Linked DNA regions of Caenorhabditis elegans. The protein of the gene in region 2 interacts with the protein of the main gene of each other region in a pairwise test. Each region holds a gene or a part of one and is shown on either strand. Other genes may lie near its edges.

Region 1 (6,036 bases), 710 kb from region 2:
GAAATTCAAACTTTCAGTGAAAAAAATTTTAGCGGGAAATTCAAATTTTCAGTAAAAAAAATTTTGGCGGGAAATTCAAATTTTCAGTGAAAAAAATTTTGGCGGGAAATTCAAATTTTTAGCGAAAAAAAATTTTGGCGGGAAATTCAAATTTTCAGTGAAAAAAATTTTGGCGGGAAATTCAAATTTTCAGTGAAAAAATTTGGGCGGGAAATTCAAATTTTCAGTGGAAAAAAATTTTGGCGGGAAATTCAAATTTTCAGTGAAAAAATTTGGGCGGGAAATTCAAATTTTCAGTGAAAAAATTTGGGCGGGAAATTCAAATTTTCAGTGAAAAAAAAATTTGGCGGGAAATTCAAACTTTCAGTGAAAAAAATTTTGGCGGGAAATTCAAATTTTCAGTGAAAAAATTTTGGCGGGAAATTCAAATTTTCAGTCCAAACCTATATCTCTTCAAAAGACAAAAACACAATTTTTCCTAAACTACAGTAATCCTACCGTACTCCTACAGTACTCCTACAGTACTACTACAGTACCCCGCCCATATCCCCTACTAACCCCAAACTGATATCCCTCCAACAGCCGAAAACGCCTTGCCTTTGTAAGCTATGACGTCACTTCTTAACAAACGGACACTATTTTTTTATATATAGGTAATGATAATAATAGTTAATGACATAAAAAAGATACTGTACTGTTAATATTAAAAATAGTATGTTTCAGCTTTGTGACAAAAGGCCAACGTTTTTATTATAACCATTAAGCACGGCCTCTGTGAAATTAAATAATAATTTTGAAATTTTAATTGAAAAATTGTCCGCTTCAGAAGGAAAAGGAAAAAAGTTGTTTATGAACAAAAATTCGCGTTAATTTTTTTTAAATTTTCACGTAAACCCGTGATGCTCTGGAACTTCCAATCACGTGGCTTCTGACCACGACACTTTACTCAATCAATTCACTTCAGTTTTCATAAAACAACACTCTCCTTGTCCGCCAAAATGGGCCTCTTTGCCAGTGCTCCAGTGGATGATGGTTCCATGGAAATCGTGCGAGATTTCATTCAAAATATGGAGAATGATGCTCAATCATCGAATAAAAGTGCATTTGCTGACTGTTTTATGGATACTTTCAATTTTAATGTTCGTGGGAGGATTTTTACCAAAGGTGAGTTTTATATGACTATATTCTACGTCGGAAAGGGAATGGTTATTCCATAAAGTGAGGTCATATAAGCAGTTTGTGAAACATTAGGAGCAATTTTTTTGTTGAAAATTCCAGGTTACCAAGTAGTTTTTCATAGTGAATTTTAGAATGTTCAACTACTAAATACTCTAATGATTGTTTAATTTTTTCAGCTCTATTCGTGGAAAGCTACCTTACCAAGCCGAATCCCGAGCCATTGATCCTCAAATCATCGATTTTTACTCAAGGAAAAAATGAAATCAAGTTCAATGTTTCACATGTAGTTGGGCCAAGAACCAATATTGCTGATTTCTATCTATTGCGTGAAGGAGAAGAAGGAAAATGGAGACTTAAATCTGGAATTGTTATCAATTAATATTCCATTGTGATGAATGAAGTAGTACTTGATTAGAATAAAGAAGTTGCTCGAAAAGAATTTTTGTAAAGTTCTGATAATTTTTACTGTTTCTAAACGTTGGTAAATCTAAACGCATAACTTGTTGTTGATATTAATATGAATTTTAAAAATGATTTTTTGATTCCAGTTCCAATCAGAAAATATTGTTGGGAGAAAAACATAATAATTGCAAAACATGGTGACAAAGTTATCAGGACATTGAAACATAATTTTAATTTCAGCATTAGTTAATTTTTCGGAAAAAAATACAATTATATGCACATGGAATTAAATAGAATGGCTACTCAAAAAAATTCTGTCTTTAACTTTATCAAAATTGTTTATCTACATATTGCGTGTTTCACTATAGTAATTTAAAACACTCCGTAAATACTTTTGTATTACAATTTTAATTTTAATGTCAACATGCATAATATGCTCAATGATCCGTTCAACCTGTATTCCTTGATTGTTTTTGGATATTTTTGAATTTGTCAGCTCAATAGTTTAGTTATGTACATATATATCTCAGTAAATTGTAAACCGAAGCTATATTCTTACCGATAGAAAAATATTCAAGAAAAAAGTAACTTCTGTTGGGATTTTAATTAATTAATTCATATTTTCGAGAATAAATGTGGCATATTTCACTAACATCAATAAGGCCACCAAACAAATTGTCTTACTCTCATTAATGCAGCAAATGTATCACAATGTTGAAACAGCAATTTTTATTTTTTTTTTAATTACAGCTTATTAATTCTCTCTTTAAGAATGTGATGTCTAATACATATTTACTAATACTGACATAGTGTTTTGCAGAGCGGAGTAGAATTTTCATCCAAAATAGAAACTTTTCAAATAAATCCTTTTCTGTCTGAAATTTTGTTATTAAAATAACGTTTGCAATGAAATGTAAACCTATCATTTTCTATATTTTCAATTTTGTAAAAGTATACACTTTCTCACTTTTCTGCTTATTATCTATCAAAAGACTAAATATATTTTCCCAGTACATAAAGTTTACAACCATTTGGATTGTCAGGTGTGTGTCCGGAAATCGATCGAAAAGGAATGATATGTCAAGGAGAAGGAAGTAGAGTTGTAAAGTGGTGGATGTTAAGGTGGGGGATACCTTGCACCTATTGTCATTATGTGAATGACAATTGGGAAGAATATAGGTCACCAGTGGAACTGTAACGTAATGTTTTGGAATAGACAACTTTGACATGAAATATTAATATGTGAAAAGGTAATCTGGAATAGAGAAGCACGCAGAAAATTGACACTACAAAATAAAAGTCTAAATGTGGATATCCTTAAATAATTTGCTTTGGATCGGGTTTTAGTATTTTTATTTTAAATTAGTAACTCGGGCGTTTTTATCAAATGCGGCAGCACTCAAAAAGTTACTGTTTCAATATAGTGATTAAAAGGACATCACTATATAAAGTACGATTTCCAGTTTCAAACAGTTTTTGTTGAGCAATTCTAAGAGAGCAAGTGAATACAATCAATCGATAATTGGTTGACTCAACCCAGTGCTCAGGCTCCGCCCACTAAGTGGGGTCTAAAACATTAAAGGGATAGAGAGGATCATTCATTATAATATTTTGTTTAGTATACCGTTTTTTTTCTTTCATACTTCCTATTAATATATGTTGATTTTTTTTCAATATTCAGATTCAATAATGTTTTCACAAGCTCAATTCAATGTTACAATGGCTGAAGAAGACCGATGGAAACAATGGTATCCAAATATGGAAATGATTGTGAATAATAAAGGGCCGAAACTAATTTTTCCCGAACTCAACTTCAATATTACTGGATTGGAAGAGAAATCGAGATATGTTGTACTTCTTTCAATTGAAAAATATGACAATATCAGGTATTTTTTAATGATTTTCAAAGTCACCATTAAAGACAAATCTTAATTTCAGATATGGATACCGAAATGGAAAATGGGGACCTTCAAAAGTCCGTCATGCAACGAAAAAAGAACAAGAAATCAAATATTTCTTACATCCAGATGGAACAAAACTTGGAAAGGAATTGATGAAGGAAACTATTAAATTTGATACAGTCAGGATTACGAATCACAAAAAATTCATGGACAAGGATAATGTGGTTAGTTTGAATTTTTAATTCACTAAATAATATTATAATTAATTTTTATTTCAGTTTTTCGTGGAAACAATGCACAAGTATGTTCCAGTCCTCACTGTCAAAAATATCACGAATGTTGAATCTGCAAATCATTCTATGAGAATGGAAGTAGCCCAATTTTTCCCAGTCACAGTATACAATCAAGAATCGATCGGAAATTGGAAATCTAAATTTCACAAGAACTCAACATATGGAAATAGATTGGATGGGGGAAACAAGAGAAAGAATACTGATTCGAGTGAAGAGCGAACATCAAAACGATCAAAAAATGAAACAGAAATTGCTGTTTCGGATATCCTTCAAGTTGCCTCACAATCAGAAAATTATAATGAGTCCACGAATTCTGGAAGGCTTCAAAATGAGATCAGTTCCTCTATTCACCAGTTCCCATCAACTTCCTATCAAAATCAATATCCACATGCGTATCCAACAGTCAATACTCCACCAATTTATGTTCAGCAATTCACAGCTCTATTTGATGAAATCCACAATCAATTCGATCCGAAAACTAAACAAAATAGGGTTGCAAAAAATGTTCAGTATCTTTCAAGTGTACCACAATTTGCGATCAATCAAAAGGAAAATATTCATCAGAATGCTCCAGATTACCCAGTCTCTCAATTTCCAAATCAATATCCATATGGTTCCTATCCCTATTATTATCCATATTTTCAATCCAGCCAACAGTTTCCACATCTCAACTATTCCATGAATAACTCTATTTATTCTGATTCCTCTTTCCAGTCATCATTTTCTGCTGAAAATTCATATTTCGATGAAAATGGAAATCCTATCCACTATCCATATTATTCTAGCAATTAATTGTCACTTCTTCATTACTAACCCTTGTTTCCTATTTTTTTCAAATTTTCCTGTGATTGTTTTGACTTCTCTGTCCATATTGACTTTAGCTCATTTTGTTTAATTCTGTAAATTATTTCTCACCTAATTTTCTGTTTCTAGTCGCAATAATTTGTAAATCAATTTTCTTTTAATAAACTTTTAACACTAATCTTGCTTTACCGTTATGATAAAAGGGCTCAGAAATTCATACATTATTCATTTTCAAAATTAAACATTGCACTATTAATCCACTATTGAATAAAAATAATTGCCAAAATTACAATTTAATATTATAACGTGATGGCAAAGTTTTCTAAATGCGCGTCCAATTTGTTTCATTTCTGCAAACACCGCGACGACAAATTGCATACCGGGTGTCAGGGCGGGCGTGAGGGGGGCGCGGGAAAGAGGCGGGCGAAGGGCGCCCCCGACACACCTCGCCCGGATGGAAAGCCTATTATGGAGCTGCTTAGCAAAAAAGTTTGCTTTTTTTTTTATTTTAATGTTTCAATTTTGATGAATCAAGTGTGGAATAGAAACATAAGCACATCATTTTTGCGTGTCAAATTATTCCGAATTTCGGATATTAAAATTTGAAATTTTTCAAATTTTTCGATTATATTGTGGGCCGCAGATACGTAACTTTACAAAAAAAAACAGGAAATATACCAACTATGTAAAGCAGACGACTTTTCCTGTCGTTGATTTATTTATTTTTTGGTACTTGAACATTAAATTCCCTCACTTTCAAAGTTTATTTTTTGAACAATGAAAAATATAAACTTTTTTTGCTGCTAAATTATTTTTTTTGTGGAGAATATTATTTTTTGAAATTGAAACTATTCTGGTTATTTAAAAAATTGTATTAAAAAAAAACTGTATCAAGTTGTAAATAATTGGATTGCATAAAAACTTACTGTTGATAATAAAAATAATAAAAAATAATAATAAAAATTCAAAGTTTCCTGTGAGTTTCTTGCCTTCTTTCATTTTGTTTTATTTTGTAATTTTTTTCTGACTTATTTTACTGTTTCATTCTCAGTTCTTTATGAGTCAATTTTCCAGTGAGTAAATATCAAATTGTACTCAAACTATATGAAAATATATCAACAACTTGAAGCAGACAAATGTTCCGCCAGAGAGTCAACCAACTTTTAGAATTAGAAAACCTCAATCTTCCTTTCGTAGAATTATTTATTTTTTTGAAACCATGAAAAAATAATTGAGGAAACAATTTCTGCTCGAGAATGTTTGTATATTTCTACAAATAATTTCAAAAAGTACGTTTTGTTGTGGGGAACATAATTTTGAAATTGAAAATACTCGATATTCTGAAAATGAACGTAAATTTGGAGAACACTACTGTTTCGAGTTTTAAGTAATTGGTCAAAATGAAAACTTACTGTCGATTATTTTGTCGAATTTTTTTCCTGGTAAAAACAGAGTGC
Region 2 (10,209 bases):
AATTAGACTTTTCAAAAGTGTGTCTTGAACTCTGACGGAGATCAAAATATTAGAAAATTGCAAAAGTGCGTAATAAATCTGCCGATTCAAGGAAAAAGTGTGTGCTTGCGATATTGCAAGCACACAACACAGCCACACAGGTGCAGATTTTATATCGAGTTCAAAAGATTATAGTTGCAAATGGAGCTAGCTTTTGGTAATGCGAAGAATAACTTGAAACTAGAATGTATGTTTTGCTAGAGAAGTTCCAAAAAAACACATCATTAGAAAAATCAAAATGCCAAAAACTTTTGTCACTTTCCTGAAACAGTAAATAGTTTCAAAATTTTTTTTTTCGAATAGAAAGCTAAACTGACGCCATTTTGGCGCAGGCGGTTGTAAGCTGCACATCTGTTATTTTGCTCTCAAGTTTGATCTCGCATTCACCATTTTTAATTGAATCCAAAAATCCAAAAATCAAAATATGAAGAGGGGGCGGGGCCGTAGTCGTGATATGTTAAAAGTCCTACGTATAATTAATTCGCAGAACTAGAAGTGTAGGCTCCAATATACTTTTAAAAGCCGCTTGCCCACCCTCCAAAGAACATTTACAATGTTGTCTCCTCTGGCTGACTAACAAAAATACAGTTTGGAGAAAGATCAAACTCCGCCCCCATCCCGCCGCCATATCATCCCTTAGTATGTATGGGTCTGTCAATGACAACGAGTATTTATAAAATTGAGAATTCAAAAGATCACGTTTTCATCCATTATATGTTTGTCGTCTGCTGATCTTCGATTTATCGCATTATCAAACGTTGATCATTTCACCATTTCATTCAACGATTTCCAGTTGGGGGAAACCCTTAGGCTCCGCCCACAAATTGATGGCACATGTCGGTTCTCTTTATCTCTTCATTCGGTAGCATAAGAGGCGAGGATTTCGAACTTTTAATCTCGTAACTTCAGATACTGATGTTTCAGTTATATGTGTTTGAAGTTCAGTTTTCTCGATAATTTCCACCTGCTTTACTTATTTCCGCACTATGATTGGAGACTACAATGTTCTGTGAATTCTTAGAAAACTTGATATTTGATTTTAAAGTGTTTTCTGCCGACGTATAACTCAATACTGAAAAATTTTGCAACAAAATTTTTTTTGTGATAATTTTGAAACAGTAATTTTTTTTCAATTTTTTTTTTCAAATTCTATAAAAATATTTCTCGCAGTTGTTTTTCATTCTATTTCGTTCCAATCAAAAAATTCTGCGATCTCTTGTTCAACATCGTTTTCTCTGATCATAATCTCAACACAAGCAGCTTTTCCTCCATGTATTTTTCGAGATGTGACGCCTTTACAGGGAGGGCGTTTGATCTCTACAAAAGCGTGAGCTACTTAGTGGGGCCAGAAAAGTGCAATTTACTTGCATAAGAGTAACAACAAAAATCATAGCGACCCCCCGCCTGCCCGGCTGTATCTCGATCACGGATCTTTTGAGTAACATCAGTTCCAATTGAATATCCGTAATTTCCGTAGTATCCGTAGTATCCGTAGGCCGTAGTTTGTAGCAGTAACAATTTTCTGGATAGAAGTTTAAGAAGTAAATCTTAAAACTTGAAATCAAGAAATAAAAATTAATAGTTTAACTTTCGAAGTTTGAATGTCAAAATTTAAAAATTTTTAAAATTTGGAAATTTTTTTCACTGTTTCAAAAATTCCATGAAAATTCCTCGCCGTTTCAAGTGTTAGTAGTAGTTCTGAAAGATCCCAATGAACATTCTGTGACTCGATATCTCCACCTCCAGCAGCAGAATCCGTTCAAATGTGGGATTTCTGCATTTACCGTGTTTTTCTTATCTAACTCGGCGGATCTAACCTTTATTCACACGTACATTCAAGAATTCAGTATTTGTAGTAAGTGTAGTTGGTGAGAAATTAACTGAAAAATTAACGAAATCCGATCTTATTTTAAGTTTTCCAAAAAAAAAAATTACTGTTTTAAAATTTATTATAAGGAAACGGTGATTTTTTCGACAATTTTTCAATCCAATTTATTTCCAATTTATTTAACTGTTCTGAATCTTAATATAAACCATGTCGCTGGAAAATATAACAATTTTATGTGCAGTTGCAATAACTAAAATTTCCAAAAAAATTTGTTTTCCGCATTTTTCTAAGTTCAAGCTTGATTTCTCATTAATGGTCGCATCTTGTTCCTGTTACAGCCAGAAACCTAAACTTTTTTCACAATTTGTTACCTGTTTGGAATGTTAATATAAATTTCGCTAAAATATATATTTAAATCTGTTGAACTGCCGTTCCCGCCAAAATTGACCAATTTTAACTTTTCGGAAAAAAAATACTGTTTCAAAATTGCATGTTCCTAATTTCAACTTTCATTTCTCAATAACTTCGGTTCTTTTTTTTCCTGTTACAGTCAAGAAACTTCCCAAAAAATCCCTCAAGATATTCATCTCCCGTGCTTCGGCCTCTTTCTACCTTGAAACTCCTACATACGCCCTTAATACGAACTGTGTCTAGTTTAATACACTCGTTATTCCCTTCCATTGCATTTCCTCATCTTCACTTCATTCTGGATCGTTTTTGATTGGGATCTGAAGCTGCGTGGAAACTGGCTTTTTCGATGAAAACGTGATCGAATTTCTGCATTAAGAATCACTGATTAAAATTTTCAATTTACAGGTTCTAATTGTACTCTTTTTTTTTTGGAAATTTTTTTCACTGTTTCAAAAATGTTTCTTCTAAACTTTTCAACAAAACCTCACTGATTAAACTTCGTCCAACATTTTCCGACAGTTTTCTCTCCATATATACTTTTAATCTTTCGGTTCCCTCTGCGCACGTGAAAAATAATCGTATTAAACAGATTTCGTATGCAAAACTTTTCCATAATTTTTTCAAAAATCACAATTTTGGCTTCTCTCTTTCCAATTTACTATACAATTTCTCCGCAAATTTTTAAAGAAATTCCTCTTTTTTCAGACTTCATCTCACTTTCATTGCCAAATCATCAAAAAGAAGCCATTTTTGGTTGGAGCTCGTGTGGCTCAACAATCAAAAAAAAATATTATTTTGTGGAGCTGGTCATTGGTAAGTTCGTGTTTTTTTTGTTGCAAACATATTTAGCCACTTGAGGTGTCTAGGAAAACCGGTGAAGATGTTTGTATAATGTTAGTCGGAAGCACAAAATTAGTGCAAATGACGTGGCGGAGGAAACGGAAAAAATTCAAAATTTTGGACTTTGGAAAAAATTAACTGTTTCAAAACATTTTGAAATTTACACAGAGAGCATTGTTTTTTTTTATAAACAAAACTTAAGTTTGAAAATTGCAATAATTTTCGTCGCTTCTTGTAGCTTGGCTGACAACCACAAAGTTTTGGTTTCAAAAATATTTTACTGTTTCAAAAAGTTCTGAAATTCACAAATAAATGTTTGTTTTTGCTATGATATCGCCCTGTATTGGTCCCAATAAACTAAACTATTCTGATTAAAAAATTTTCAACTGTTTCAAAATTTTGAAAAAAGTTCCATTTTTTTTAAGTGTTTGCTCTATTCTTTCTTTAAAAGTTTCACCTTATTGTACATTTTGTAGACACATTTTGTAGACTACAAAGGCTACGTGTTTGCCAGTTCTTTCACTTTTTGCCGTGTCACTTGTTAGTCATTTCTTACAAGAAATGGGAACTTTTCTGTTTCACAATGTCTTTTTCTTTTAAAAAAGTTTGAGCTTCAGCTGAAAAGAAGCTGAAAATTTTTGTTCCTGCTTCAAAGAGAAAAACACTGAAACTTTGAGCTTTTTGTTGTCAATTTACTCGGCGATCTTTAAAGAGACGAAGAAAAAGAAGAAATGTTTTGTCTGGCGGTTGTGTTCTCTGTTTTTGCGGGTCCCCCAACTCCAGTTTTTTGATCACTTATTTTTCCTATTTTTTTGAATCATTTTTCTTGACTTTTTCTAGATTTTTCTTCTCTGGAAAAGTCACAGAATGATGATGATAAAGTTTGTGATCAAAAACACACTTTTCGACCTCTTCAGTCATTCAACCCGGTTAGTGGGAGGAGGTGGAGAGTAGGTCAAATATTTGCACACCCCGCCTAAACTTTGTACCGCCCAATTTTATGTTCATTTTCTGTGTGCCGTGTGTAGTAGAGGAGGAGCAACAAAGAACCGAACTTACGGAACTTTGTACCTATGGAATTGATGTGTTTTGTATTAATTTCTATATTTTTTAAATTCTGTCGAAAGCACTTTGAACTTTGTGAACTTTTCATATTTTTATTTTGAAACAGTAATTTTTTTCTTCAAAATTTGAAATTTCAAAAATTCGAATTCAAAATTTTAATAAGATTTTAAAAATCTACATAAATATTTTTTGTTGAAAAATGATGAACCTACTTCGTTGGTAATAGCAAAAAAAAAAGAGTCCACAACATTTTTAATGCATATTTTGAAACAGTGAAAAATTTCACTGTTTTTAAATTTTTACGTATACATAACCGCAACATAATTTTTGATTTGTATTTCTTATTAGGAGTAAATTGTTATTTTTAGTCAGTAATCAAATTCATATGCCAAATTTCACAAAATTTACAGTGAAAGTGTTATTAAATTTCAAAATTTGAAACCGTAATTTTCCTGTCGTTCTACAAGTAGTATGCCTCTACTTTGAAATAATCAAACATTTTCCGTGAAACAGTAACTTTTTTTCGATTTTTAAAATTTTTGCAAATCCTTTACTGATGTGAGTTTTTTTATTACTAATAGAATCACATAAATATTACAGTTCCAGTTTTAAAACTCTTAAACATTTTCTGTGAAACAGTAAATTTTCATTAAGAATTCCAATTTTCAAAAATCATCTACAGTAACCTAGTTATCTCCATCTAAACGCTTATTTCCTTGTCTGAAAATGTCTTAATTTACTTCCTCTAGATATTTTCTACTTATTTTGCACAACCATCCTCTCATTTCCGTGTTCTGCTTCTTCTGTTTTGTGCTCCGTTCGCCTGGTCATCTATTTCTCTCTGTGTGTGTTCTAGATCACAATTTGTGTTGTGTTCTCCAGTGTCTCTGCTGCTTCGCGTTAGCATGTTTTTCACCCAATTTTTGAGCTTTTCGAGCCCAGACTAGTAGACCCCGAGTGATCTTCGAACACCCCCCTGTGTGTGTGTGTTCCCCGCATATGTGATTATTGAACCACTAGGGACTGGAAAAATAGGAACGAGGAAGCTGGAACACACACCCATCGAGTGTGTTTTTTTTCGAATGGGAAAAAAAAAAGAAATTACATATTTTTTTCTCTTACTCTCTTGTAGGTCCCTTTGTAACTTCCGCTTTGACCCTTGGAGCTCCTCCTCCATTTTTGTCACTATTCCTGATCAGTCTTCATGATTTTAGGTTAGCTAAGGTTAAGCTCTTGTGGATTACTGTAGTACTCTTGGAATATATATGTCTTGAAGAAAAATTACTGTTTCATTATTTTCACAAGTTTATACAGTGATCATGTTGCATCAATTTGCTGTGTGCATCTAGCAGAATTACTGTGAATCATTAAATTCAGTAAGACAATTAGATTTTTTTCGAAATTTCGGGAGCTTCATTATGTAAATCATAACTAGCCAACGAATATTCAAGTTTTGAAACACTAATTTTTAAAATTTATTGAAATTTTTTAATATTTCAATTTTCTGTTTCTAGAGGTCTGTTTTTTACACATATTTTAAACTTAAAAAATTAAAAGAATTCCTGTTTCACGCTGTTCGTAAGAAGTCTTACTTTGAAAAATCTTTTGCTCTCCTTCCGTACATATCTCAAATTCCCAATTCTTTCAGTAAAATGAGCCCACACATCATCGCTACTGTAACCATCGACGACGAGCATCATCATCATCATCACCGCAGCAACGAGAACTACTCTCCATCATCCCAAGACATGGACTCCCCAAAGCCAAAGGGACGCATCCTTTACTGCCGAAAGTGCGAAGGACACGGCGAGAAGGTGATCCTCAAGAATCACTCACCACAGTGCCCATATATTCTGTGCAATTGCAAATCGGTAAGTTCTAGAAGAGTCTGGGAGCTATTTTGTTTTCAAATTTTCAAATTTTAGTGCGAGAAGCTAAACTACAAGCGCCTGAAGTCGTTCAACAAGAGAAATAAGGAAAAGATCGAGTTGGCAGCAGCTCTGAATGCAAAGAGACATGCTCCAGAATCCGGATCCAGTGTTGACGATGAAGAAGGTGAGCTTTTCCCTGATCTCTGTCTCCTACTCCTTCACTATCAAATTAGAATCCATATAGTACCCATAGATCTCTGATTTCTCAGTTGTGTTTTGGCGCTTACTCCCTAGTTCCCCCACAAATATGCATAACTTCCGTCTAGATTTCCACAAAAATGTACTCGGTTGTTTTGTTCGTTTCTCGTACGCGATCGAAAATCTCTGTATGACTAACAACGTAGACAGCAGAACCACTGAAAGATCAAGTGTTATTTCAAAACTATTTTGGAGTTTGCGATGATGTTTCATATTTGTTAGATATTTTGGAAAGGACATGATCTTTTGATTTCAAGAGTTTACTACAAAATTCGATCCCATGACATTCACTTTTCAAAAACAAAGCAACTATTTGCCCAACTTTTGCAAAAAAGTAGACTGTAGGTACCGGTACTAGACTAATCTTTTGATAGTGTTATCAGTTTTTTTCCTTTATACCATTACAAAAATCACCTGATTCTTGCGCTTTCTGATCGTTCCAGTGTAATTCGTCGCACTTTTGGAACGCCGCAATAACAAAATTCTATATTCAGAACAAGTGTTCTTAGATCGCTGAAAATTCTATTTCCTAGTTCCATCCCTCGAATCTACGAATCTTGTTTTCGTCGTCTTGATATATACAAAAATGTGTGTCCTGATCGACTCGAACCCTCCACTGACCTTTTTGTTTTGCTCATTCGCCATCTACTTGTTTTTAGTACATTCCAGCAACTCTTTCTCCTCCTCCCCCCCCCCCTTTCATCCCTTCTCTTCGGTCGCTTCAGGACCTTGCACTCTTTCTCATTGCGTCTGCACACTCTCATCACATCTGTACTATTTCTCGTTTGCCCTGTCTGATTTTCGCAACTACTAGTCTACTCGGTTCTCATCGTCCTCTCGTTTTTCCACGTTTTTTCACATTTTAAGGCACACACACACACACAGAGAGGATGACGAAAAGGCGCTCACATTTTCAGTACACAATCACTTTTCTGTGTATGTGTTTGTGTGCCCAGCCTCCCGAGGACGACTGTCTCTTCTGTTATTCGCGAATATTTCAGGCATTTCGTCTAGTCTTCATTTTCATTTTTATGTATTATAATTTCGGTTCTGTCTTCAAAAAATTGAGCTAAACTCCTTGGAACGTCTTCCGTTTTGAGTTTTAGCTCCCTGGTTTGATCCCTTATGCAGCCCGTCTACGATCTTTTTGCATTTGATTATACGTAATTATTTTCTCTCTCTCTCTCCTTTTCATTTTTCACAATTTTCCCACTCAATTTATCTGTCTACAAAGTTATGCTTTGGTGTCTCAATGACTCACGACGGTTGGCACATATCTCGTGTCAGTTCAAAATAATAGCAATTATCATTTGAATATCCGCTGACCGATGGTTAGATTGAGCACGTATGCGCGTATGCTGGCCAAACAGAAATAGAAATTCCAAGTATGTGTCTGGAGCCGCCGGCTCGACTGTAAACAGATTTCCGTCACTTTTCTTGTTCTCAATTTTCGATGTCTACATATAAATGAATAGAGATTAGAAATCATCAAAATGGCGTTGACGTAGGCAAATGGTGAATCACATTAGCTCACATTACGTATGATCCCTGTGTTTTGGTGTGCTGCTCTTTCATATACATTTTTTTTCATTTCTCTCTCTCTCTCTCTCTCTCTCTCTCTCTCTCTCTCTCTCTCTCTCTCTTTTCTAATAGGACTGAATCAGTGGGAGTAAGTGTACACAGACTATGAAAAAATAATGTAAAAAAGGTGAGCAACACACCAGTCGCACCAAATAGTGAAGGATTTAAAGATCACCGAATTTCTATTCGCGTCTCTTTCTTCTTCCTCTCTCTCTCTCAACATGTTTCGTCTCCCATTTCACTCCGTCGTAAGCCGGCGGCATTATCCAGTGCGAGACTCCTTTCCCAAGTACGGAACCCTTGTGTCCCTCTACTGATCTTTATCCGGCACCTAGTACCTGTCCTATATACCCACACTCGGGGCCCCCCGAGAGAAAGAAAGATGCATTCGATTTTCTATTGTTTCTCATTCTGCAGTGAAACGCGAAACACTTTCCATTTTCTTCTTTTCCAACACATACACACACACAATATGTTCCAATTCAATATTTCGAAACTTTTCAGGCTTCTCCCGCCGTTCCTCATTCTGCTCAAAAACTTCAACACCAGACATGGACTCGGAGACGAGAACCTCATCGGTAAGTATTCTCCACCTAAACTAGACTCTTGTTTTGCACTTCATATGTGTAAGGCATCTGTCAATAGCTAGCTGGCTTTCTTTCTCTGAAATCGCGGTTTCTTAGGAAAATATTCTAGTCTGCTCATAGCTCTCACGCGCACCTTGACCTAACAGCTGCATGAGAAGAAGACGTCGACGACAGAACCAGTGAGAGAGGGAAAATTCTGATCTTATGGTTTTTAATCTGCTCCTGCTCCAAAGCATGCGCTCTCTCTCTCTCTCTCTCTCTTCGCACGCTGCTCTGGCTCCCTCCTCACGCAGCGGCGCTCACATTTTGTCAGAATAGGCGGAGCAGGTGCGCGAGCCCTGTTATTACTTTATCTTCTCATACTCTTGAGCTCATTTCCAATCTCATGCTCAACTATATTCCATTTCAGACGACTCCTATCACTCGTTCCAACTCCACAATGCCCACAGCTAATGGTCTTGAAGGACGAAGTGGCTCACTTGGGCACATGACAGTCATGTCCTATGATATTTGGAAGGCCAAGTGTGCATCAGAGAGAAAGAGGCTTGAAGAGGAGAGACTCACAAAGCCTGAACTATTCACCCGATCTCCATCACCTGGCCCAATGAGGAAGCGTGCTCACACATTTGTTGCTCCGCCAACGGTTAGTTGTCTAGTTTTCTAGAGAGTTCTAGAGAGTGATCTATGGTTCTGGCGAGCCGTCGACATCACCCTTTTCTAGCCTAATTGTGATTCATCATTTCTCATACATGTATTTTTCAGATTCACACGCCAGACATCCCGGTTGTCGCCGCAAAGAAGATGTCACTTGATGAGAAGGTGAAGGGCAAATTCATCACACTTCCGACGATTCCTGCGATGAGAATTTTTGTGAACGAGGAGGATGAAGATGTGAAGCCAGTGACACAAATGCAATTGGCTCAGCCGATCGCTTTAACTCCATCACCACAAATGTCACTGGCCTCCACACTTGCTCAGATTCCAATGTCTACTCCGGTTTGTATGCCTTCAATGATCACGCCGACGTCTTTCCTGGACATTCCATCGACCTCGAGTCCAATGCTGCCATTCCAAATCTCCACGACGACTTCTCCGATGCTTCAGCGTCAGACACCAATCTTGACACCACAGATGTCTCCATTCAAACCAGTCGGAGTCGCTACTCCACAGCCACCTGCGCTAAGCAACTTGTCTGCTGGACAGGAGCTATCCTCATTCATCCTTCATTCCGTCGTACTTCAAGCTCAACAAGCACAACAGAAGACTGCACAACAGTTGATCCCGACTTCTATGCCATCAGAGTTGGAATCAACACTTTCTCTTCTCCGCTTGCAACAATCATCGTTGGGTGATTTGATCAAGCTCAGTGGAATCCAACTTCCAACTCTTCCAACCACTCAGCCAATGCTCACACCTCAAATGCCAACACTTCCGATGATGCAGAAAGCGTTGCCGACTGTTTTGCCAGGATCCTTCCAGCCCTTCCTTCAACCCACACTCTTTACCAACCCGGTCTAAGTCAAAGAATCTTCTAGAATTCCACCAAAAAAACCCCCGATCATAATACGATTCGCTCTACTCCGTTCATCTCTTTACTCATCGTCTAGTCCTTTCACACCCCAATTCCTGCACCTACGGTGTTTTTTTGCCATCTTTTCATACTTTTTACTATCTCTTCGCTTTTACCCATTTCCAGTTCCTCTCTCTCTCTTTTGCTCTCAGGCTATAT
Region 3 (7,144 bases), on a different chromosome or scaffold from region 2:
TTTACTTTAAAACGCCATAACTTTAAAACGGTTAGAGCTATCAAAAAGTTGTCAAGTAACAAATTATTTGTATATAAATGTTGCTTATTTTTGTAGTTCAAACTTTTTTGCTAACTTTCACCGTTGTGGAGATATGCCGCCTCAAAGTTGGCGCTCCCTGAAACAGTTTGGGAGATTTGGCCGTCTAAACTTTACAGCGCCGTATCTTTTGAACGGTTAGAGCTATCAAAAAATTGTCAACTAAAAAATTATTTGTTTTTTAATTACACATATTTCTGTAACGTAACCCTTTTCTCTAACTCAAACCGTTCGAGAGATATGATGCTTTCAAAATATCTCGCCCTAGGAAAACCTCACTGACTTTGATTCATCATATCTTCAAAACGGTTAGAGCTATCAAAAAGTTATCAACTGACAAATTATTTAAAATTAAATTTTATACATTTTTTTAATTTAAAATTTTTTGGTAACTCTTGCCGTTGCGGAGATATCAAGCTTTAAAGTTGGCGCACCCTAGAAAAAAGGTCAACCGTATATCCCGAACAGTTAGAGCTATCGAAAAGTTGTAAACTGACAAAATTATCAAAAATTGCAATTCATATTTATTTTCAACATACAAAAACAATTCTCAACTCCTATGACGTCATCACTCCTTCTAATTTTCCACATAGTGTCTTCCCAACTGATAAGCTTATCTCATCACCTGCGTTTTTATCAATTTTTTGTTACCAAAATCGATTCAAACAAACACAAAATTGCCATAAAAACGGTTGCGAACTTTCTGTTTCGTTTTGGCAATACTAATATTTTTTTTTGTTGAAAGTTTCAAATTGAAATTTTTTCAACAGAAAAAATTTTAATTTTCAAGAAAAACAAAAGTATTTTGACGAATATATCAGTTAACTTTTTTCTTTTTTTGCCGACACGTGACCGTATAAAATGACCCTGTAAAACAACTAAAATACCTGTTTTCGCGTCATTTGGCAAAGGATAAAAGTTGGGGGGAAACATGAACATTTCAACTTCTTCGCGTCATACTACTTTTAGTAAATTCATTTTTAGTTAGTTGTTTTTTTTAGCTATTTTGATGTCAAAGTAGGTACACGGGTACTCAGAAACTGGGAAATTTTTTTGTGGAATTAAAAAAAAAAAGAATATGGAAAACAAATTAAAAATTAAGAAAAAAAGTTTTTCAAAAAATTAAAAAAAGCTCAAAAACTTAATTTTTAAAAATATTTTTTGCATAATTTTTGTTCACTAGAAATCCTGGAAGCTTTCCTGTTTTATTCCAAAAAAATTTACAAGATTGACACCGCACAGGGTCGGTTCATTTTGAAAACTTTTACATCAAATTTTTAGAATATTTTTTTAATGATTAAACGTTATTTTGGAAAAATTTTACAAAATGAGACAAAAAAAACCAAGAAAATTGGTTTTAAAAAATTTATTATTTTTCTTCCGAATTTTCGAAATTTTTTTTCTCAAACTTGGAACTTTCATTTTTTATCAGATTTTCTTAAAAATTAGGTCATCTTCTCATTGTAATTTTCTCTACAAAATGAGCTTAACCTTCCAGAGGCTCCGCCCACTTTTCTCCCTCCACACGCCACGCTGTCCTCGTCGTGTCGCCCTCATTTTCTGCCACCACCACCACACAAGTTTGTTACTTTTCTCCGTTTTTTTCTTCTTTTTTTCCCTTCACATTTTTCTCCTTTTTCTCCTTTTCTCCACAAATTCTTTCCACCTTTTTGCCCCCCTTCTCAGCTTCTGGGGGCTCGAGCACTAAAAGGGAGAAGGTTTCGAAATGTAATGCATGTTTCCGTTCTAAACATACACATACATACACACAAACACGCACGAGACGCTAGAAAAAAATGGAGAGAAAAAAATTTCCTCTCCGCTGGCTCTCCGGAGAAAAAGAGAGCTCACCTCCACATTTTTTTGGGGGAGACAGGAAAAGAAAATGCAACATTTTATGGATCCCTGAGCATGATTTTAGTATGGAATTTGGAAAATTTGGAAAATTTTGATTTTGGGGAAGTTTTGGAATTGTTCGATTTTTTGAAAAAAAATTGCCAAAAATTGTTTTTTTTTCAAAAACTTTCCTAATTTTTGGGAGGTTTTTTTTGATTTCTCTTTAAACTTTATATGTTTCTAAAATATCTATAATTTTCAAAAAAAACCATACATTTCCTGTAAAAATCTATTTAAAAAATTATTTTTTAATTTTTCCCGATTTTTTTTTCAAATTTTTGAGATTAAAAATTACCAATTTTCTAATTTTTTTCAAAACAGAACAAAGTTGTTTCTAGTTTGAGAATTCATGACGAGAAAAAAAGAAAAAAAACGTTGGTAATTTGAGATCGACGGAAAATCTAGAACTTTTTGTTTGTTCAGATAGTTGTTTTTTTTCGAAAAAAAACTTTTTTTTCCGCAATTTTAAAAGTGATAGTTTATGTACCTTTAAAAATTAGGATATCTAAGTGTCTTTAGCCGAAGAGCAATTTTTGGTGTCAATTTCCATTTAAAAAATTTCAAAAAAAAGTCTGAAAATTTTTTTGGAAAAAGCTCTAAAAATTCGGAAAAATTCCTACAGTCCGACAATTTTCAAAATTACTCTAAAATATCTGAAAATTTTCAATTTCCCCCGAAAAATTCCCACAAAATTCCCCCATCCAACTTCTACCAGAAAATTCAGAAAACCGGTCGAACGAAATTTCCCCAATTTTCTTTTCCAATCTTTCTCCCTTTCTGCCCCCTAAAACTTTCCCCGGTTACTCTCTCTCAAAAAAAAAAACGAAAAGAAACAGAAAACATCATCTTAAAAGAGAAAACTGGTTCCTAAAAATTGATTTGGCGGGAAATTTTGTTGAGAAATTGGGGGTCAGGCCAAAATTGGACACTTACTTTTCAGTTTTGTCCGGTTGGTTTTCTTTGCGTGGTTGTCTTAGGCCTAGGCCTAGTTTCAGGCTTAGGGTTAGGCTTAGGCTTAGGCTTAGGCTTAGGTTTATATTTAGCCTTAGGCTTAGGTTTAGGCTTAGGCATAGACCAAAGTTTAGTAATCGGCTTTGGCTGAGGCTTAGGCTTAGGGTTAAGCTCAGGCTTAGGCTTATTCTTGAGCTTAGACTTAGACTTAGGCTTAGGCTTAGGCTTTAGAGCTGTTTTCCCTCTTTTTTTCTCAAGTTTTACTCAAAAATATTCTGCTCATTTTGCTCTTTTTTCTATCCCCTCCCCCTCATATCCGTCACGCTTCTCCCTTCCTTTCAAAGCATCAAAGATTTTTATTTTCTCATTTTTTACTTATTGCTCCGACTAAAAATATAATATAAAATCTCATCTTCTTTTTTTTGCAGCATCTCTATATGTTTGCTCCTTCGACGGTTTATACCTATGGACATCATGGTTCTGGAACAGACGAGGATGATGGGTGAGTGTACAGTACCCTACGGTATTCATAGTCTATCACCTACAGTACCCCTGAATCAACTACAGTGCCCATATGGTACCTAACTACAGTACCTATAGTCTAGTTTTGGTACCCCTATGGGGTCTAGCTACAGTACCCAAATAGATCATAGCTACAATACACATGTTGTACATAGCAACAGTAGTTACAGTAACCATATGGGCTGATGTACAGCACCCATATAGTTCATAGCTACAGTACACAAATGGTTCCTAGCTACAGTAATCATAAAGGAACTAAGTAGAGTTACAGTATCCATATGGTGTCAAGTTACAGTACCCCTAATCCAACTACAGTACCCGTATGGTACCTAGCTACAGTACTCACAGATTACAATTGAGATACAAAACCCCCAAAAACTTTAAAAAAATTTCAGTCAACAGGTCATGCCAGGAATGGATAATGGTGATGGGCAGTGTATGGTGTGTGGAGACAGGTCGGCTGGAAAACACTATGGAGTAATGGCTTGTTATGGTGAGTTTTTCTTTTTTTCCAATTTAGGCCTAAGCCTAAGCCTAAGGTGCTAAGCCAAAGCCCAAGCCCAAGCCTAATCCTAAGCCTAAGCCTAACCCTATGGTCTGAAGTTTATGGCCCTAAGCCTAAACCTAAGCATAAGCCTAAGCTTAATCCTAGGCCTGAGCCTAAGCCTAAGCCTAAGCCTAAGCATAAGACTAAGCCTAAGCCTAAGCTTGATCCTAGCTTTGAGCCTAAGCCTAAGCCTAAGGTCTTGAGTTTATGACCCTAGGCCTAATCCTAAGCCGAAGCCTAAGCTTAAACCTAGGCCTGAGCCTAAGCCTAAGCCTAAGCCTAAGCATAAGACTAAGCCTAAGCCTAAGCCTAATCCTAGCTTTGAGCCAAATCCTAAGCCTACGCCTGAGCCTAAGCTTAGGCTTAAGCCTAAGCCTAAGCCTGAGCTTAAACTTTGAGCTATCAAAAATCATGCAATTTATGACTTATTCATGTTTTCGACTGGAATATTTCAATAGTTTACACAACTTTTTCAAGATTCAATTTTTGAGATATCGCTCAAATTTCTAAAATTTCAGGTTGTAAGGGCTTCTTCCGCCGAACAATCCGATCCCAACAGACCTACACCTGCCGATTCACCCAAAAATGCGCCATCGACAAGGATCAACGCAACGCATGCCGTTACTGCCGGTTCCAGCGTTGCCTGACAGTTGGCATGGAGCCAGAAGCCATTCGACCGGATCGTGACGTCATCGGCAAGCAGAAGAATCCACGGAAGAAGAAGATGAAGTCCGACACGAATAGTGGAAGCATCGATGCATCCCTACCCTCACCGAATGGCTGCGATTCTCCAGTTTCCAATAATGAAGATGTTATTTTGTCATTTTTATTGGATGTTGAAGATCAGGCGACTTGCGGGAATAATCATATCACAATGCCTATTGGAATATCAATGATGATGAAGAATGACCCGGATTTCGATGTGTCCACTTTGTTCCATAGTCAATATGTCAGAAATCAGGAGAGCTTTCCGGTGAGTTGTCGGCTGCTCCTAGGTAAACTTGAAGGGAGCTTCCAGTAACCCGTGATGTGTCGGCCGTTTCTAGAAACAAGGGAAATGTCGGCTGCTTCTAGAAGCCCGGCAAATGTCGGCTGCTTCTAGAAACTAAGCAAATGTCGGCTGCTTCTAGAAACTAAGCAAATGTCGGCTGCTTCTAGAAGCCCGGCGAATGTCGGCTGTTTCTAGAAACCAGGCAAATGTCGGCTGCTTCTAGAAATTTGAAATACAGTGTGGGAAAGTTCTATAGGACCCCCCCCTAATTTGAAGGTTTGAGGAACTTCCGAAAATTTTTTTGAAAAACTGCTAATGCCATTCGTTTTTAAATTGAAAAAAACCTATATACATTTTTTTCCAGAAGTTTATCTCAAAAACTGAGGTCGCGCTGGAAAAAACGTCAAAATCCAGTGTGAAACTTCTATAGGACCCCCCGTTTTTTTTCACGATTTTTACTAAAATCAACAGATTTTGGAATTTTTGACAAAGCTCAAATCAAGTTTGAGTTAGAAATGAGTTCAGATAAGCAGTTTTGACTTTAAAAAATTAATACGAAATGTTCTCGTGGGATCTCCAGACTGGTTCTGATTCTTCCGATCTTTGATGTTCAAGTCTGTTTCAAGCTTCCTGGTGCTCTCGGTAATGCCAAAACTTGATAAACTCTCTTTAACAAGTTCCTACTAAAATTCCTAGCACGCACTTTAGATGTTTCGACTGTGTAGTCAAGCTGATTTGGCAAAATATGCAGCAGGAAACAATGGAAGGCTTATCAGGAATCAAATCGTTTTTCTTTGATTACAAGGTTCCATGGGACCAATATTTCAAGTTAAATTGTCCCTCACAGATGTTATTTACTATTTTTTGCGTGAATTATTAAATGTGGAATTGTGGCATGTGTTGTGGCACACATATAGAGGCTGGAAAGCTTACTTCGAAAGCAGTCTAACTTGCAATGCCTCGAGGATCTGCCCTTTCGGACACTGAACGCGCTCAGCTGGATGTTATGAAATTGCTCAATGTGTCCCTGCATGAAATGAGTAGGAAAATTTCCCGTTCTCGACACTGTATTCGCGTGTATCTGAAGGATCCGGTGAGCTACGGTACATCTAAAAGAGCTCCTCGTCGCAAAGCTCTCTCCGTGCGTGACGAACGAAATGTGATTCGTGCTGCCTCCAACTCCTGTAAGACGGCAAGAGATATTCGCAATGAGCTTCAATTGTCTGCTTCAAAAAGGACCATCCTCAATGTCATCAAACGATCTGGTGTAATCGTTCGTCAGAAACTTCGCCCTGCTCCGTTACTCTCTGCAGACCATAAACTCAAGCGATTGGAATTTGCTAAGAACAATATGGGAACGAATTGGAGTAAAGTGAGAATTTAAAAAAGCAAGAGTGAATAATTAGGATCATTGTTTTAGGTTGTCTTCTCCGATGAAAAGAAATTCAATCTCGATGGGCCTGACGGTTGCCGCTACTATTGGCGCGATTTGCGCAAGGAACCAATGGTTTTTTCGAGACGTAATTTTGGAGGAGGAACGGTGATGGTTTGGGGAGCGTTCACGGAGAAGAAGAAGCTTGAGATACAGTTCGTCAGTAGCAAGATGAACAGCACTGACTATCAGAACGTCTTGGAACTGGAGCTCTCCAAATATCTTCGTCACTACTCCAGAAAAGACTTTAGATTTCAGCAGGATAATGCGACAATCCATGTGAGCAACTCAACCCGCGACTATTTCAAGCTCAAGAAGATCAACCTTCTTGATTGGCCAGCTCGAAGTCCTGATCTCAATCCAATCGAAAATTTGTGGGGGATTCTTGTCCGTATCGTGTATGCTCAGAACAAGACTTACCCAACAGTTGCATCGTTGAAGCAAGGAATTCTCGACGCTTGGAAGTCTATTCCGGACAACCAGCTGAAAAGTTTGGTCAGATCAATGGAGGACAGACTGTTTGAGAACATCCGCACACAAGGAAACCCGATTAACTATTGATCCTTTCTTGATTTTAGTATATGAATGTTCTGTTGTTGATCAAAAATAACTGCAACTTGTTAATACGCTGTTTCTGACTGGTTTCTTGGGGATGGCGTAAAAATGTTTATGGTGTGTGTGCTAGGAATTTTAGTAGGAACTTGTTAAAGAGAGTTTATCAAGTTTT
Region 4 (7,575 bases), on a different chromosome or scaffold from region 2:
TACTAAAACACTCTGAAATTCATAATTTTTCACAAAAATTGCATATTTAAACAGTAGATTCTTTCTTCTTATGTCTCTGTTTAGATTCTTCATCGATTTGTGTATTTTCGGCGGCCCGTTTCTCCCAGATTAATCGATTCTTGAAAAAGCTCATTTGTTCTTCTTGCTCGTCCAACTGTTTCAGCTCTCCACGAATCTCATCTTGACGTAATCGGAGCAACACTTTTTGAGCTTGAGATTTCGCCAAAGCCTGACGACGTTCATTCCATTCCCCGAAGAGCTTCGTTTGCACGGCGCAGAGAGAATCTTCTTCGCTGACCTGAAAAAATTGTTTAAAGTTTTAAAATATCCAGAAAAAACGGAATTTTGGATTAAGATTTATTAAAAGTGTGTGTGAATAATTGAAATCAACGGTGTGTTGATAAATCTGCATTCTCGGTATGTCTCTTTTTAAAGGTGGTGTAGTCGAATGTTCTTTATTGCTTTATTAGACCCAATTTTTTTTTGTTGAAAACTCCGAATTTCATAATGAAACTTCTTGAAAACTTTTATAAAAAAATTATGTTGAAATGACGTAAAATTAGTTAAAATTTGAAATTTGACTTGTCAAGCGGCAGGAAACTAACTTTTTTGAACTCACCGTGTAACGAATTTTTCGGAAAAAAATTAATTAGCGACATTTTTTCAAGTATTATGTTTTACATTTTACTACGTTTTATTCCAATTTTTATAGGAAGCACTGAAAAATTGGATAAATCGAAGAAATATCACGTTTTAAACTTTTTTCTGAAAACCGGAACAAAAATCTATTTTTTTAAAATTATTACATTTTCTCAATTGAAAATTTGAAATTTAAAATATTCTCAATCATACCTGAATTTTCTTCAAATGTTCCAAAATAATATCACTGAGTTTCTCCTTTGCCTCTTCAACCTCTCCGATAGACTCCAAAATGTTTTTCACACCGGCTTCTTCCTCTTTCCCAGCCAATTTCCCAGCCACAATTGATTTAACACACGGAATCGCCGTGGAAATCGTCGAATTGGCTTCTGCGAGTTTTTCAAAGAGCACTGCTCCAAGAGCATTTAAACTGGATTTCAGTTGAGAATCGATAAATTTCGTGTCCCGGGACAGCCATTGAAGAGACTTTCCGATTAAATGATGAGGATTTGAAAGATCAAAGTGTTCATCAAAGCTGTCATTTTTGAGATATGGGAATTTGAATGTTCTCTGAAATTGATGACATTTAAATAATAATAATAGAAATATTATTTTCCTACAATATCATCATCATTAATATCCTCTTCCTCATCATCTGCACCTCCGAGATCAAGCGTCTGTTGCTCAACAGGTAATTCAACCCATTTTGCACAAACATATAATCCAAGAATATTCAAAAGCTCATTATCAAGTTCTTCTTGTTGAATCATCCATGTAACAATACGAGCGGCCGCTTGAATATTTGACGTCTTCAGAAAATGATCAATGACAATGCAGGCAAGATGTTGATTCAGAAATACGCCATAGTTGATCTGTATTACTTTTCGATTTTATAGTGATCTCCTATGACTATCCTTACCGGGTCATTAGCCAACGTGATAATAGTCTCCGGTTGGTATTTGAGAAGCAGTCGAACAATTGCATATTCACTTGATTCCAACTTTTCTGCTGCTTTCACACTATGCCGAAGCTTATACAGTAGTTCGATGACGTCATCTACCTGAAAAATTGATTATTATCCATACAAAAGCTTATTTAAAGGTGGAGTACCGATTTCTGAGATTTATTTTTGAATTACCCCCAACCCTTCTCCCTTGATCCTCAATATCTTAGTGAAAAAATTCAAAATTATTAGGAATGAGGGGAAAATTGGGGGTCATTTAAAAATATTAATATTTCTCAGATTTAGGTACTCTCCTTTAATTTAATAAACTGATTATTACTTGATCTTTCTGCTCAGCAACACATACAGCTGCATCAACATCAACTGCACTTGCATATCCACCACCAATAAACTTCTTCTGTACAGCACTGATCCATTCATAGTCTCCACCCAATCCGAGTTTACCAAGAGCCACGTGGCGATCCGACCACTCTTTTTCCAGTGAAAAACTTGAGGAGAGAACGGGCTGTCGAATGGATTTTTGGAAATTTCGGCGAGTTATAAAAGTTCGAAGAAGGTTTTTAGAGAGCATCTGAAGATGAAATATTATTTTATTGGGGTCTTACAATTAGCAATTTAAATTTTCAACAATCCGGCAATTATCGGTATGTTTTGAATTTTTAAAGTTCGAAATCAAGTTAAGTTCTCGAATTCGATAATTTTTCACCGTTTTTAGAAAGAAAAAACATTCTGACATTGTTTCAGAGAAATTGAAATTTAACTCTTAAAAGTTACATATTTTGTCGTTTTTTTGTTGAAAATCGAGAAATTCAGTTTTTTTTTTTAATTTTCATTTACAAAGAATGTCAATCAGTTTTTAAGAAAAATATAGAAAATTGCATCAAAAATAAAATTGGACTTTTTCGGAAAATCAGTAAATAGTTTTTCAGTAGTCATAAAATTTTCAATTCTCCAGAATTTAAATAAATTTCCTTTTGTAATCGCCTATTTTAATAGTTTTTTTTTTTTTTTGGAAAATAATGAATTGGTTTCATACCGCATTTAGAGACAAATTGATTGTCCAACAATACGTGTAGATATTTATTTCAGATTAGATAATTGAAAAAAAAAATCCAAAGTTAAAAGGAAATAATTATTAAATTATAAATTAGAACATTGAAAATTTTGCAAACAGTACAAGTATATATCAAATGTGTTTGTGGGAGAAGACACGTGGCATACGTGTTTAAAGTGAATTGGGGCATCGATCGATTGATTGTAAGACAACTTGGTGAGAGGGGTGTAGTAATAAGGAAAGAATGGATAGAGCGAGAGATCGAATAGATAGAAGCATAATAAATAGAACAAAAAAGGCGATTATTTGGTAAGAATTGGTGGAAAAAAAAAGAAAGCATGCGATTGAGAGGGGTAGAGATCAGAATATTACTGAAAGAGAATAATTAAAATGAGAGGTGTGGATAATAGGGGAATTCGCTTTAAACCACAAAAAAGTGAGCTGAAATTCAGAAATAGTTGCTTCTGTGGTATTTTTGAGCGAAATCCCCCTTCTTCCTTAACATAAAGGTGGATAAATTATGTGAGGGCAATTTAACATATTTAATAATCATTTAATATGGAACATGTTGATGGTGGTGATGGGCTTGATCCTCTCCAGACTCTCCTCTAAACAACTTTTTCGTCTGAAGTCGCATAAGTCCATCGGCACACTTTTTGTAAGTAAAACGACTGAATCCATAGGGTATCTGGAGACGATGTTGACGGGTTAAATGGCGTCCCAATGCAAATCCAGTAGTATATGTTCGGTCACACAAATGGCATGTATATGGGGATGGATTGAAATTCTGAAAATCGGATGATTAAACGATTAGAATAAAATAAATCCACGAGTTTTCTTATATCGATTTTCTGAAAAAAAAACACCGGTTACCTCATCATGTTCTTTCATATGCTTCATGAGCTGTTTCTTCCACTTAAACTTCTCCGGACAATGCTTGCAACTGTACATGACGTCAGAATGGTACACAGCGTGACGGTTGAGCTCACTCTGAAAATTTTGAAATTTTTTAAAAATATTTTGTAATAAAAAGTATGTTCGAAAGGCTGCGACACCGAGAAGTTGGCAAAAACTTTGATTTTAGCAGAAAATGAGCTTTGTTGTAGAAATTTGAGAAATTTTCAAAATGTCTCATTACGAAATTCGGTAGATTTGGGCAATTTTAAAGCCCATAAGACATTTTTTTGAACTAAAATCTAAAATTGCCTGAAGCTTGATAAATTGATATTCATTTACAATTTTTCCTAAAAATTCGACAAAAATATTTTTCTTACCTCTGTGAAGAACAATTTGCTGCAAGTATCACATTTGAAATCTTTGGATCGTCTTGAATGCTTTGTCATTAAATGCCTATGAAGTTCTGCTCGGCAACCCAATCCAAGTGAGCATAGTGGGCACGTAAGACTGACTAAATGCCGTGTAACATGCATACATAACGCTTTTTCAGTTCCAAATCGCTTTTGACACAGTTTGCATAGATACGGATCTTCCATTTCCGGGTTCTTCATCAGAATTGTTCGTCGGAGACAATGATCGTAGAGCTTGTCGCGTCGGGAGAAGAATCGAGCACAGAATGGGCACGCGAGCACCTTCTCACCGCTGTGGTGACGAGCGTGACGTCGGAGATTGGCTTTTGAATCGGCAACTTGTGTGCAGGCGGTCCATTTACACGGGAACACCACTTTTTTGTCGCCATCTGTGTAGAATATTAGAATTTAAAAGGAAATTTTTTGTTGGAATAATCTTGAGCGGAAAATTAGATGCTATTTAATTATCATCCTCAATTGCAAATTTAGGTCGTATTTCACGATTTTTCGTTGATGAAAATTCTTTTTCAGTCAATTAGTATACAAATCACCGTAATCAACAAAAAATCGTGAAATAACAGACCAAAATCTGCAATCAGGGCGATAATTAAGTAAGAAATAAATTCCGGCATTGAAAGTTGTCCAGTTAAACAAAAAATTCGATGAAAATTTCAGTTTTTTAAAGTGAAAACAAATTTCTTCAGGAAATTTAATTGTCACTGTCCAGAAATCCTTACTCACTCGAAAAATTCTGTTGAATTCTATCAACATCGCCAACACCATCAATGTGATGTCCGACATGATCAAACAGTTCGGTTAATGAGTTAAACGGCATTCCACAATCCTCCCATTGACAATTCAGCAGCATTCCTTCATAATTAATATTTGTACATGGCTCAAAACCACAACTCTCTATTCCAATATAATCTTCCTTTTCAATCAGTGCTTCTGATCCTTTTTGCTGACAATCTGCTTGGAATACGTGCATTGAGACGTGTCGGTGGAGTTGGAATATCGAATCGAGATGCTTGTTGCACCCGCGAACTTTGCACTGAACAGTATTCATATGGTTCCCATTTTGAACTCCTTCCTCGATTACTGACACGTGGCCGAATAAATGATCAACGAACTCGTCCTTGCTCGACGAGCTAGACACACATTGACCCCATAGGCAGACGAATGTGAAAACTGAAAAATTAAATTGTTTAGTTTTAAACAAAAGTTGGCGTGATGGATCAGATTGAGCCTCGTCGCGACCATGGGTTCAGCATGTGAAAATATATCGTTGAAATTGATTTCAATGTGGCTTATATTTATATTTTGGCAATACTTCGAATCCATTTTAGAAATTCAAAAAATATTGAATTTCAGAGGTTTTACACATCATTTTGTAGCCCGATTTTCAAAAAATTTCTTGACTTTAAAAGCAGTGTAAAACCTCTGAAATTCAATATTTTTGAATGTTATAAATAAATTCGAAGCACCGCCGAAATATATAAGCCACATTTAAATAATTTTAAACGATGTATCTTCTACTGAAAATTCAGAATTTATTGAAATTAAAATGCGTACCCCTATTGGGCATATACGTTCAAAATCTTCCGAACCGTTAGTACTCATTGTCGAAAATCTGAATATTAATTACCTTGTGGATCATCCGACGATCGTTCACACCAAGTCATTGGCAACCAATGATTCATAACTTCTTCGCTAAGCTCTCCGCTCTCAGAATCGTTACTCGACGCTCTGGAAGCTCGAGGAGTGTGAGTAGAAAACCTTGTTGCAGACGAGATCGGTGCAGGTGTACGGAAAGAGTCCACAGAATCCTGACTATCTGAGTCTTGACTATCAATCATATAATGTAAATGTTGTTGTGGCTGGTGCTGATGGTGGTGATGATGATGATGTGGTGGTGCTGTTGGTGCGTACAAATTATGACGGGGATCCGGCTCGGCAATTCCAAACGAATTATAGTACGGAGGATGCTGGCTGGATGGTTGATATTGAATGTCGAAATCGAATTTGACTGGTTTCAAATCGGCATATGACATACTTTAGGATAATTGAATCTGAAAAACATGATTGAAATCTCGAAAGAGACAGTAATTGAGCAGGTAGGTATGAAATGCGTTAAAATTACGCAAAAATGAAGAACAAAAAATAAAAAAATCACATTGAAATTTTAAAATTTTACATGGAAATTGAATGGCGAATAATATAATAATTATAAATAAAGTGTGGGGGAAAAGTTCGAGGGGAAAGCTACTACCGGGGAGAGTAAACTGGGTATACAAAAAATCAATAAAAGAATTTAGAACATGGCGCCCTCTGCCGGTTGCTGCAATTTCAGATTCTCTTTGGCCATCATCATGTTCTTGCGGATATCCTCGAGCACGGTCTTGATCATGTAACTATTGCTCCAGTTGCGAAGTGTTGTCAAATTTCGCTTATCAATCACTCCATTGCTCTGATTGACTCCCACCATGTGAACTTTGGTGGTGAAACGAACGGTTGGTGGCTCTCGCGGATAATTCCCGCCGCACTGGATTTGCAGATTGTAGATTCGCGATTCGTATGGAGTCTGAAAGCAAAAAACTAATAATAAAAAATGATTAATTCCGCTGACTCACTCTCGGTGGACCAATGATGGAAGCAGTCCATCTGGTGAGAGTCATATCGCTGTCATCCTCCAAACCCCACGAAATGTTTCCATCTCCCTTGCCTTTTTGTCCTTCTTCAAGTTCTTCCAGCAGACGGAAATTGCGTGGTACATCGACTGGAAAAGAGAAAAATATGCGAAAATAATCATTTTTGAATTTAGAAAGCGAACTTACCCATTTTGAAAGTGCCCAAGTTGCTGGAACGCTGAAAATTGAAATTATTAACAAAGAAATTTGCTTTAAAATCCGAAAAATCAAGAAAAAATCGATAATTTCGTCGGACAATCCGCCTGCTAGCACGGCTTGACGCTCGTTTGCCGCGCGCTCATTCGATTTGTGTGAGTGCCCAGTGGAGCGCGTTTGCTAAGGCTAACTGTGTAGTCCTCTCGGACAAGATCTGTGAACATTGAAATGAAACACTTGGGTTCAATAAAATCACAAGAAAATGATGACAATTTTGTTTGCGACCGAAAAAAAATTATAAAAATTGAATATTGGTTATCATCGTTTCAATCTTTGTTTTGTATTAAAGGCACAGCTGCTAAAAATTGTTTTTTTTTTTTCAATTTTGCTAAAAGAAAATCAATTTTCTGATTTTTTGTTGAGTTCCCGTGCAAATCAATGTCCTAGCTTTTTAAAATTGTTTTTTGTTATGTAATTCTAATCAAATTTTGTCGAATTTTCAGAGATTTTCTGCTAAAACACTAAAAATAGTCTAAAAGTCGATAATTTGATAAACATTTACTCAAACCTTTTACGGAAAAATGAAACAAAAGTTGCAAAAATATAGTAATTTCGCAATTTTCTGAACGCGTACTTAAAGGTACACGGTTTGATTCGGATTGGTCCCGCCACAAAGTGTTACCATAACATTTTTCTCGCTGCGAGACCCATCCGAATAAATCCGTGCGCCTAATCAGTGCGAGTACG

Evidence for each region.
Region 1: the proteins of dmd-6 (region 2) and tbx-39 interact in a two-hybrid assay, tested with the Caenorhabditis elegans proteins (one large-scale study listed by BioGRID).
Region 3: the proteins of dmd-6 (region 2) and nhr-88 interact in a two-hybrid assay, tested with the Caenorhabditis elegans proteins (one large-scale study listed by BioGRID).
Region 4: the proteins of dmd-6 (region 2) and hinf-1 interact in a two-hybrid assay, tested with the Caenorhabditis elegans proteins (one large-scale study listed by BioGRID).

Annotation. Positions count from the first base shown.
Region 1 is NC_003282.8:15,320,623-15,326,658, forward strand, and holds tbx-39 (Putative T-box protein 39), read left to right. Parts: upstream 1-3,270; coding exon 3,271-3,467; intron 3,468-3,519; coding exon 3,520-3,706; intron 3,707-3,760; coding exon 3,761-4,567; downstream 4,568-6,036. Other genes in the region: Y73F8A.15 (DUF38 domain-containing protein), read left to right, coding at 999-1,164, 1,356-1,558.
Region 2 is NC_003282.8:14,613,620-14,623,828, forward strand, and holds the start of dmd-6 (DM domain-containing protein), read left to right. Parts: upstream 1-2,983; 5' UTR 2,984-3,091; intron 3,092-3,444; exon of another isoform or gene 3,445-3,465; intron 3,466-3,550; exon of another isoform or gene 3,551-3,571; intron 3,572-3,736; exon of another isoform or gene 3,737-3,757; intron 3,758-4,387; exon of another isoform or gene 4,388-4,408; intron 4,409-4,514; exon of another isoform or gene 4,515-4,535; intron 4,536-4,628; exon of another isoform or gene 4,629-4,652; intron 4,653-4,756; exon of another isoform or gene 4,757-4,777; intron 4,778-5,514; exon of another isoform or gene 5,515-5,535; intron 5,536-5,578; exon of another isoform or gene 5,579-5,599; intron 5,600-5,792; exon of another isoform or gene 5,793-5,813; intron 5,814-5,831; 5' UTR 5,832-5,835; coding exon 5,836-6,054; intron 6,055-6,108; coding exon 6,109-6,238; intron 6,239-6,562; exon of another isoform or gene 6,563-6,583; intron 6,584-7,904; exon of another isoform or gene 7,905-7,961; intron 7,962-8,397; coding exon 8,398-8,471; intron 8,472-8,889; coding exon 8,890-9,123; intron 9,124-9,242; coding exon 9,243-9,998; 3' UTR 9,999-10,209.
Region 3 is NC_003280.10:2,975,063-2,982,206, forward strand, and holds the start of nhr-88 (Nuclear hormone receptor E75), read left to right. Parts: upstream 1-3,353; 5' UTR 3,354-3,362; coding exon 3,363-3,427; intron 3,428-3,842; coding exon 3,843-3,940; intron 3,941-4,206; exon of another isoform or gene 4,207-4,281; intron 4,282-4,326; exon of another isoform or gene 4,327-4,380; intron 4,381-4,512; coding exon 4,513-4,967; intron 4,968-5,693; coding exon of another isoform or gene 5,694-5,783; exon of another isoform or gene 5,784-5,868; intron 5,869-7,144.
Region 4 is NC_003279.8:14,789,519-14,797,093, reverse strand, and holds hinf-1 (C2H2-type domain-containing protein), read right to left. Parts: upstream 6,055-7,575; 5' UTR 6,037-6,054; coding exon 5,631-6,036; intron 5,174-5,630; coding exon 4,727-5,173; intron 4,612-4,726; exon of another isoform or gene 4,523-4,611; intron 4,375-4,522; coding exon 3,953-4,374; intron 3,669-3,952; coding exon 3,552-3,668; intron 3,466-3,551; coding exon 3,232-3,465; 3' UTR 2,688-3,231; downstream 1-2,687. Other genes in the region: mrps-27 (Ig-like domain-containing protein), read right to left, coding at 47-319, 874-1,230, 1,281-1,532, 1,580-1,720, 1,944-2,195; uev-1 (Ubiquitin-conjugating enzyme E2 variant 1), read right to left, coding at 6,297-6,566, 6,616-6,761, 6,820-6,823.